Linked DNA regions of Macaca mulatta. The protein of the gene in region 1 binds, or shares a complex with, the protein of each later gene. Links are inferred from orthologs where the notes say so. Each region holds a gene or a part of one and is shown in the gene's direction. Other genes may lie near its edges.

Region 1 (3,809 bases):
GCTCTGTCACCCATGCTGGAGTGCAGTGGGGCAATCATGGCTTATTGCAGCCTTGACCTCCTGGGCCCAAGTGATCCTCCTCCCACCTCAGTCTCCCAAGTAGCTGAGTCTACAGGCACACACCACCATACCTGCCTAATTTTGTTTTTTATTTTTTGTAGAGATGGGTCTCCCTATGTTGCCCAGTCTGGTCTCAAACTCCTGGCTTCAAGTAATCCTCCTATCTTGGACTCCCAAAGTGCTGAGATTACAAGATGTGAGCCATTGCGCCTGGATGGAATGTTCTGTATCTTGGTAGAGGTGTAGATACGTGCATTTCATTGTACCTACCTTTTATCCTCCCACCCCCATCAAAAACATACTTAAAAACAAAACCCCTGGAGGACATGGCTGTACATGGGCAGGGCTGTGCCTGTGGGGCTTCTCTGCCTGTAGGAGGCTGACCTTGACTGAGCCAGCACCCAGCTTCACTGCCCCAGCTTCCCGATGGCACTCAGGATGCAGCTGGGAGAAATCAGTGTCATGTCACACTGGAACTGCCTGTGCCTGAACCTCAGTCAGTGAGTGATATGGGTACCATTTGTTACAATAAATGAGAAGTCTTGCCATAAAGTAATAATAATAACTGGGTGTTGAGAAGAGCCAGAAGGAAATCTGGCAGAGGACAGCACATGAATTGTAATCATTTTTATGGCCTCCAAACAGGGTTGGTGGAAGGAGGCCTATGGTGAACATTCACCAGGCCTGGCTCCCACAGCCGGCTGTACACTCCCGAGGTGACTGAGGGTGAAGTGTCTGCATGCTCTGTAAAGGGACAGAGAAAAGTAGAAATCTCTGCCTTGTTTCTTTTGAAAAGTGAAGGAAACCTTCCTAGACCCACTGCTCCCCTCCCCGCAGTCCCACCCTAGCAACCCCCTCACATTTCATTTGCCAGCATGATGTCAGACAGGTCCAGGTCTCAGCAGGCCACCCACAACGGGAAGGAGACTACCGTGTGGCCTGCTCACCCCCCAGGGCTCAGAAGGGCCAGTGTCCCGTGGGGGTCATCGCAGGAGCAGGAGCAGTGTAGGGCTTTTGTCCTCAAGGAGGATGGGGGAAAGGTCGATGGCCAGTCCCCCATTGAAGGGTAGGCACCATCCGGGCCTTTTCCATGCTCTTCCTCATTCGTTCCTAGGAGCAGACCTGTGATGTGGGTGCCACAATTCCCGTTTTCTAGATGAGGGAACTGAAGCTCTGAGAGGTTCATCAGCTGGCTAAGGTCACACAGCTAGTAGACATCAGAGCTTCCATCTGAACTTGAATTTCCAGCTCCAAAGGCATGCTTTTTCCCTTGGGCTGCATGGCCTTTGCAAGATGCAAGCCCAGATAGCAGTGAAAGACAGTAATCACCTTACCCAGCCACTGTGCAGTGATTCTGTAATCGACATCCTAATCACTGCGCAATCTTCTCCTCAGGCCCCACAGCTGGAAATGCTCTCTTTCCAGGCTAGATCCTGGCCTGGGCTCAAGGCTCAGCTCAGAGCAGCCCCAGGCTCACCCCTGCTTAGGAAGACCAAGGAGGCATCACCTCCAGTTAGCACGTGGCAGTTCAGCTGCTGGGGCCCAAGGGTGACTCAGGGCGGTCCCTGTGGTGGAGCTGGCTTCCCAGGCGATGTGTGAGGCACGTAGCCACAGTCATTTCCCAACGTCCTGCCTGTGCCAGGCGGCATCAGTGTGGCAACCCGTCCCTTCCACATGTTGCCCCCATGGGAACATCCTATTTCCTTTGGATAAAATGTCTGGGTTGGGAGGGTGGTGGCTGACTTTCAGCCCTGTGGTCTAAGTCCTCCCACCCTTTCCAGTTAAAGGGCCAGTCCTTAGCTGGGCCTACATGCCCCGGCCATGCCCACCCGGCCTGCTTCTCTCCTCCTCTCTCCATCCTGCACTCTCTGTCCTGCCAGGTGGAGCTCCCTGTAGCCTCCCCTCTGAGATGGTGCTCACTCACATCGCCATACCCCACCAGGCTAGCTTTCTGCCTGGGGTGGTCCTGGTCAGTGCCTCCAACGCTGTGAGACCTGGGTCTGGAGCATCACCTGCATCAGGAGCCTGCTGTGACCTTCTGTGCTGGACCGGAAGCCTGCCAGTTTGAATTGATAGCACTCCTGGCCCACCTCCTTCCTGGCAGCACTGAGTGATTTGGAACCGCCCCCTTGACTGTGGAACAAGAAGGCTTACACAGAATTGCTGGGCGTGTGCACTGGGGATTGTAGAGTCAGATTGCCTGGGTTTATGTCTTTCTCCCATGGGTCTGGGGTGCATTATTTAGCCTTTCCCTGCTTTAATTTCCTCATCTGTAAAATGAAGATAATGACATACCCACGCTCATGGTTGCTGTGAGGACTCAATGTGGCCCTTACCACTCCAGGCCGTGATAGTTGGCTCAGGTGTCTGCCTCCCTCACATCTTCTCAACTGCATTTCCAGGACATAGCACAGTGCTTGGCACATTGCAAGCCTTTGGTAAATGTCCATTGATTGAATGAAGCCCATAGTCCTTCAACATCATTCTGGTTCTGATGATCCCTCTGAAAATTGATCTGAATCGATTAATGTCAGCAGCAGCAGAACTGATGTGGCCCAATGCATAATCCCTTAGGACTCCTGTAGGTATCTCAAGACTGGCCACACCCCCAAATATGAGTGGGCTCTGGTGTGGTGACTTGGAAACAGGAAGGTTCGAGCTCTGTGTCTTGCCGGTGTTGAGCTCTTCTCTGGTAAAGGGCTCTGCAGAGCTGTGGAACATGATGTGGTCTTTGTAACTTGTCTGGGGAGACCTGGGGGAAGGTGCTGCTTTTAGAAACATCCAGGCCAGTCATGGGAGCCCCTGACGCAGGAAAGCAGCAGTTTTCTCTCTGCTGACTTCTCTCTCTTGCCTCCCTCCATCCCTTTTCTAGCTACTATGCTGTCCTGTACCCCATGGTGTACCCCATGAAAATCACAGGGAACCGGGCTGTGATGGCACTTGTCTACATCTGGCTTCATGCACTTATCGGCTGCCTGCCACCCCTGTTTGGTTGGTCGTCTGTGGAGTTTGACGAGTTCAAATGGATGTGTGTGGCTGCTTGGCACCGGGAGCCTGGCTACACGGCCTTCTGGCAGATCTGGTGTGCCCTATTCCCCTTTCTGGTCATGCTGGTGTGCTACGGCTTCATCTTCCGCGTGGCCAGGGTCAAGGCACGCAAGGTGCACTGTGGCACAGTCGTCATCGTGGAGGAGGATGCTCAGAGGACCGGGAGGAAGAACTCCAGCACCTCCACCTCCTCTTCAGGCAGCAGGAGGAACGCCTTTCAGGGTGTGGTCTACTCGGCCAACCAGTGCAAAGCCCTCATCACCATCCTGGTGGTCCTCGGTGCATTCATGGTCACCTGGGGCCCCTACATGGTTGTCATCGCCTCTGAGGCCCTCTGGGGGAAGAGCTCTGTCTCCCCGAGCCTGGAGACTTGGGCCACATGGCTGTCCTTTGCCAGCGCTGTCTGCCACCCCCTGATCTATGGACTCTGGAACAAGACAGTTCGCAAAGAACTACTGGGCATGTGCTTTGGGGACCGGTATTATCGGGAACCGTTTGTGCAACGACAGAGGACTTCCAGGCTCTTCAGCATTTCCAACAGGATCACAGGTAACTTGGGCGTTGTTAGGATAGTCCCTCCGAGGCAGATGAAATCTGTGGTCCTCTCAGCCACGCTGGCCTGTTTGTGGGTGGGTTCTCAGGCTGACTGGTGGTGAGGCTCAAAGCACAGATTTCCTGTGGGAAGAAACATTCCAGAGGCT
Region 2 (4,331 bases), on another chromosome or scaffold:
CTTTTTCTATTTTCCCAAGTTAGATTTTCTATAATCCTTTCTTTTGCTCAAATATCTGAAAGTATGCCATAATTTTAGCAAAATTTGGGGAACAATGTTAGGTCAAAAGCAGTACATGTATGCACATTTGTTATTAGCAGGACCCCCAAAAGAAATGTGAATGCCGGATCTCCAACTTCTTGATTTAAAAATGTAATCCAGGCCCCGCGCGGTGGCTCACGCCTGTAATCCCAGCACTTTGGGAGGCGAGGTGGCTGGATCCCTTGAGGTCAGGAGTTCGAGACCACCCTGGCCAACATGGTGAAATCGTCTCTACTAAAAATGCCCAGAAAAAAAAAAAAAAGAAAGAAAGAAAATGAAAAATTAGCTGGCAGTGGTGGTGGGCGCCTGTAGTCCCAGTTACTTAGGAGGCTGAGGCAGTAGAACCACTGGAACCGGGGAGGTGGAGGTTGCAGTAAGCCGTGATCGCACCACTGCACTCCAGCCTGGGCGACAGAGCCAGATTGTCTCAAAAAGAAAAAATGTAATCCAATGTAGTATTTACATCTAGTGCCAACGGGTGCAGTGTACACTGCGCTGCATGCTACGTTTCATTAAACAGCCTAATCTGGTGTGTTAATAAGAGATGTATTTAACTATCAGTTATAATATTACATGTCATTTTCCCGGAAACCAAGGAACACATCTTACAGCAGGTTATTCACAAGCTATATTAAAATGTTCACCTGTTGCAGAAGCTCTACAAGATGCTGTGCATTCAGTGGGAAATAACCGGAGACATGGGACCTCTGGCGGGCTTGTTTCTCAGCGTCATGGAGAGAGCGCACCCAGTCTGAAGGCGCATCTGCTCCTCTCTGCGCTATATTGTGGATTAAGAAAATACAGTGTACAATCTCATATTCTCATTTCAGCAAATATAAATAGTACATGGCAATTATATGTCCTCGGTTTTCATTTTTAAGGGTGGAAATTGTTGAAAATGGTGTCGTGGACCAGACTCCAGAATTGGAGATTTTGTAGAGGTCAAAGGTATAGTAGTATTAAAGTAGGGATAAAGAGTGTGCGGGCATGTGTGTAAGATAATGAGCAGAAAAGGGAGTGGCAAGGTGCAGAATCTCTGCAAGCAATGGATTGGGGAAATTGAAGGCTTTAAAGCCACGGTCGCTATTCCTGCACCCAGCTTTCCGTCCTCAGTTACTATGACCCAAGATCAAAGCCACCCTGGTTTTCTAATTGCCGCAACTGCGGCTCCAGGTGCTGACTGCACAGCCACTGCGGTACTGTCCGCAGCTGCGCGCCGGGCTCAGTCGGCATTATTTACGGTACAGAATACTCGCCCGCGCGGCGGTATTTACGGTAACGAAAGCCAGCTGTATTTACGGTAGCGAGGGCCGGACCGGCGGCGGCATTTACGGTAACGGGGCCGGGCTGGCTGAGGCCCGTCGGCTTGGCCAGCTCTGGGCGTTATCAAGTGATCTCCAGCCAAGGCGGCCGCCACCCCCTGCACCCAGCGGAAAATGCAAAATGGCCCTCTGGGGCAGTGAGGGGCCGTGGCCCTCGGCCCGGGCCTGCCGCACCCCCTTCCCGCAGCTGGCGGCCGGCAGCGCTGAACAGGGTCCGGGTGTAGCCCCCTCTCGCCCCTCCGCAGGGGCGCCGGCCTGAACTGGGCGCGGGAACCAGGCCGCCCTCGGCGCCCAGCCCGCCCTAGTCCCGCGCGCCGCCCCCGCCGTGCCGCGCCCACATGGGTCTGTGCTACAGTCTGCGGCCGCTGCTTTTCGGGGGCCCAGGGGACGACCCCTGCGCGGCCTCGGAGCCCCCGGTGCAGGACACGCAGCCCGCCCCGGCCCCGGCCCCAGTCCGGGCGGCCGCAAGGGACACGGCTCGGACCTCGCTCCCTCGGGGCGGCGGCGGGAGCCCGGTATGCGCTCGGCCCAAAGCAGACAAGCCGAAGGAGAAGCGGCAGCGCACCGAGCAGCTGAGCGCCGAGGAGCGCGAGGCGGCCAAGGAGGCGAGGAAAGTGAGCCGGGGCATCGACCGCATGCTGCGCGAGCAGAAGCGCGACCTGCAGCAGACGCACCGGCTCCTGCTGCTCGGTAGGTCCCGGTCGCGCGGTCGGCTCACGCCCCGGGGACAGCCCGCCGGGCCCGCGGGGTTGGTGGGCGCCGGGGAGCGGCGGCGGGAGGGGCTCCTGAATCCCGGGACTGGACCCGGACGGGCGGCGGGCGCGGACCGGCTGCGGAGTGTTTAAACTGGGGGGGGAATGGCTCCCCTGACCTGGCCGGGAGGACGCTACGGGCCGGTTCTGCCGCTCCCAGTGCCTTGAGCTTTTCCTGCCGCTCGCTCGCTCGCTCGCTCTCATTAACGAGCCTCTCTGGGAAGTCTCGCCCTCGACTGAGCGCCTTCCGCAGGGTCTGATCCCCGGGGATGTCTACCCTGGCCTCTCACTTCCTGCTGCACGCGGAGGCTGGCGGTCTGGTTTCAGAACACAGATGAAAGGAGATGGATAAGGCCTTTTAGCTTGACCGCAAAGCTTTTATTCCAAGCACAGTGTTGTGGGTGGGTGTGGCCTGCTACCTTTTGAGAAAGAACTTGAGCTGCACTTAGGTTTTACTGTGGAGGAAGATCAACCCCGGCTCTGGGAAGTTTGCTCCGCTGGAGAACCAGCGGCACGAGGGGGTGGCGGCCCCGGCGTGCTCTCTGTGTAACCGCGTGCAGGAGGGCGGGCGCCGAATCCCGGCGTTTTCAAGGAACCAGATGCTTGCTCTCCTAGTAGTATTTTTCAGAGCTTACCTATAGCAAGTACGTGTGCTCCTACAACAATCAGAAAACATGGTTCTATGCACTCTACCGTAGAATGAAAAAAAAAAATCACGATTTCCTGATACTACTTGTTGCCTTTTAAATTTTAAGACGAAATAATCATAATTGGGCTTTTGATGGCAATTTTGTGAGATGTAAGGAAGAATAGTCGTTCAGGTCTATGGTCTCTGCTATACATGGAAGAGAAGGTATTCCATGATTTTAGCAAGATGCCTGCATATAAATGAATGCAACTTTCATTTAAGATCTAGAAGACAATAAATACTGAGTTTGAGAGGACTTGTCCACTGCACTGCAATAATTAATAATTTAAAACAACATAAACCTAGCTGTTGTATTCTGGTGAATGAAATATCTAATTTTTAAAGCAAAGGGAAATGTTTTTGAAGAAACAACAAAAACCAGTAAATACGCAGGTTATCTCAAACAGCGACGTGGGCTGAGCAGTAGCAGAGCTGCCCCCTCCAGTGCTCACCTGCAGAATATCGCAGAGCACACGTTTCCAGAGGTCTGAGGATACAGAAGTGTAACTTTAGAATTTCATACCTTGTTAAACCGTTGTTGGTGTGTGAGGGTAAAATAAATCTTTGGATATGCAAGTATTCAAAGTATACTCTCATCCACATATATTTCTGGAAGGAAACTTAAAAAAAAATAGAGACAGCGGCAGCTCATGCCTGTATCCCAGCACTTTAAGAGGCTGAGGCTGGCGGATCACTTGATCTCGGGAGTTGAAGACCAGCCTGGGTAACATGCTAAAACCCCGTCTCTACAAAAAATACAAAAATTAGCTGGGTGGTGCGCTGGAGACCCTGTCTCCAAAATAAATAAATGAATGAATAAAAATAAATAAATAAATTGAGACAAGTCTCACTATGTTGGCCAGGCTGATCTCAAACTCCTGGTCTCAAGTGATCCACCCACGTCAGCATCCTAAAGTGCTGAGATTACAGGCATGAGCCACCATGCTCGGCCTGGAAAGACGTTAATTGGAAATTACTTCAGCCAAAATTTTTTAAATGCATTAAATTAAAATAATTCAAAAAGGGGAGAATTTTTTTAAAGGGGAGAGAGAATCATCATCTCAAGAAACTAACAAAAAACAAGAAGACAAATAGGATCAGGAGTTGTGACAACCCAACGTTGTTTTGATGTGATTATACAGTTGAACATAATTTAAAAATAATAAAATGATATGGGAAGCAGAAAATGCTTTCTATATAATAAAAATTATTAGACTATGAATCTGTGAAAAACATGGGATGAGATATGGTCTGAAGAACAGAACGGTGAGCTCTAAAGAGTCAGCTTCTTGTAACACATTTGAAAGTACGCTTTGAAGACATCATCTCATAGCCTCATAGATTTTATATATCAGCATCATAGCTAAAGTGACATAAAATCAAATGACTCACTTTTCAGGGAGAGTGTATTGTATCCTCCACCAATGATATCTACACTAAAACACATACTGTTACATGGGGTTGACGTTGTTTATCCGATTTTATATA

What was found.
Region 2: the proteins of GPR161 (region 1) and GNAL are in contact, whole or in part, in a cryo-EM structure (PDB 8KH4), measured with the Homo sapiens proteins. The link is inferred for Macaca mulatta from reciprocal best matches to the Homo sapiens genes GPR161 and GNAL. Residues at the interface, in NP_001254539.1 of Homo sapiens: Arg125, Ala128, Val129, Leu130, Pro132, Met133, Tyr135, Pro136, Met137, Ile139, Ile211, Val214, Ala215, Lys218, Ala219, Lys267, Ala268, Thr271, Trp327, Asn328, Lys329, Arg332; in NP_001135811.1 of Homo sapiens: Ala41, His43, Lys203, Val204, Phe206, Phe363, Cys366, Arg367, Asp368, Ile370, Gln371, Arg372, His374, Leu375, Gln377, Tyr378, Glu379, Leu380, Leu381.

The regions. Positions count from the first base shown.
Region 1 is NC_133406.1:25,630,546-25,634,354, reverse strand, and holds part of GPR161 (G-protein coupled receptor 161), read left to right. Parts: intron 1-2,932; coding exon 2,933-3,657; intron 3,658-3,809. UniProt on the Homo sapiens protein: Key negative regulator of Shh signaling, which promotes the processing of GLI3 into GLI3R during neural tube development.
Region 2 is NC_133423.1:81,841,012-81,845,342, reverse strand, and holds the start of GNAL (guanine nucleotide-binding protein G(olf) subunit alpha), read left to right. Parts: upstream 1-1,466; 5' UTR 1,467-1,741; coding exon 1,742-2,093; intron 2,094-2,274; exon of another isoform or gene 2,275-2,654; intron 2,655-4,331. UniProt on the Homo sapiens protein: Guanine nucleotide-binding protein (G protein) involved as transducer in olfactory signal transduction controlled by G protein-coupled receptors (GPCRs).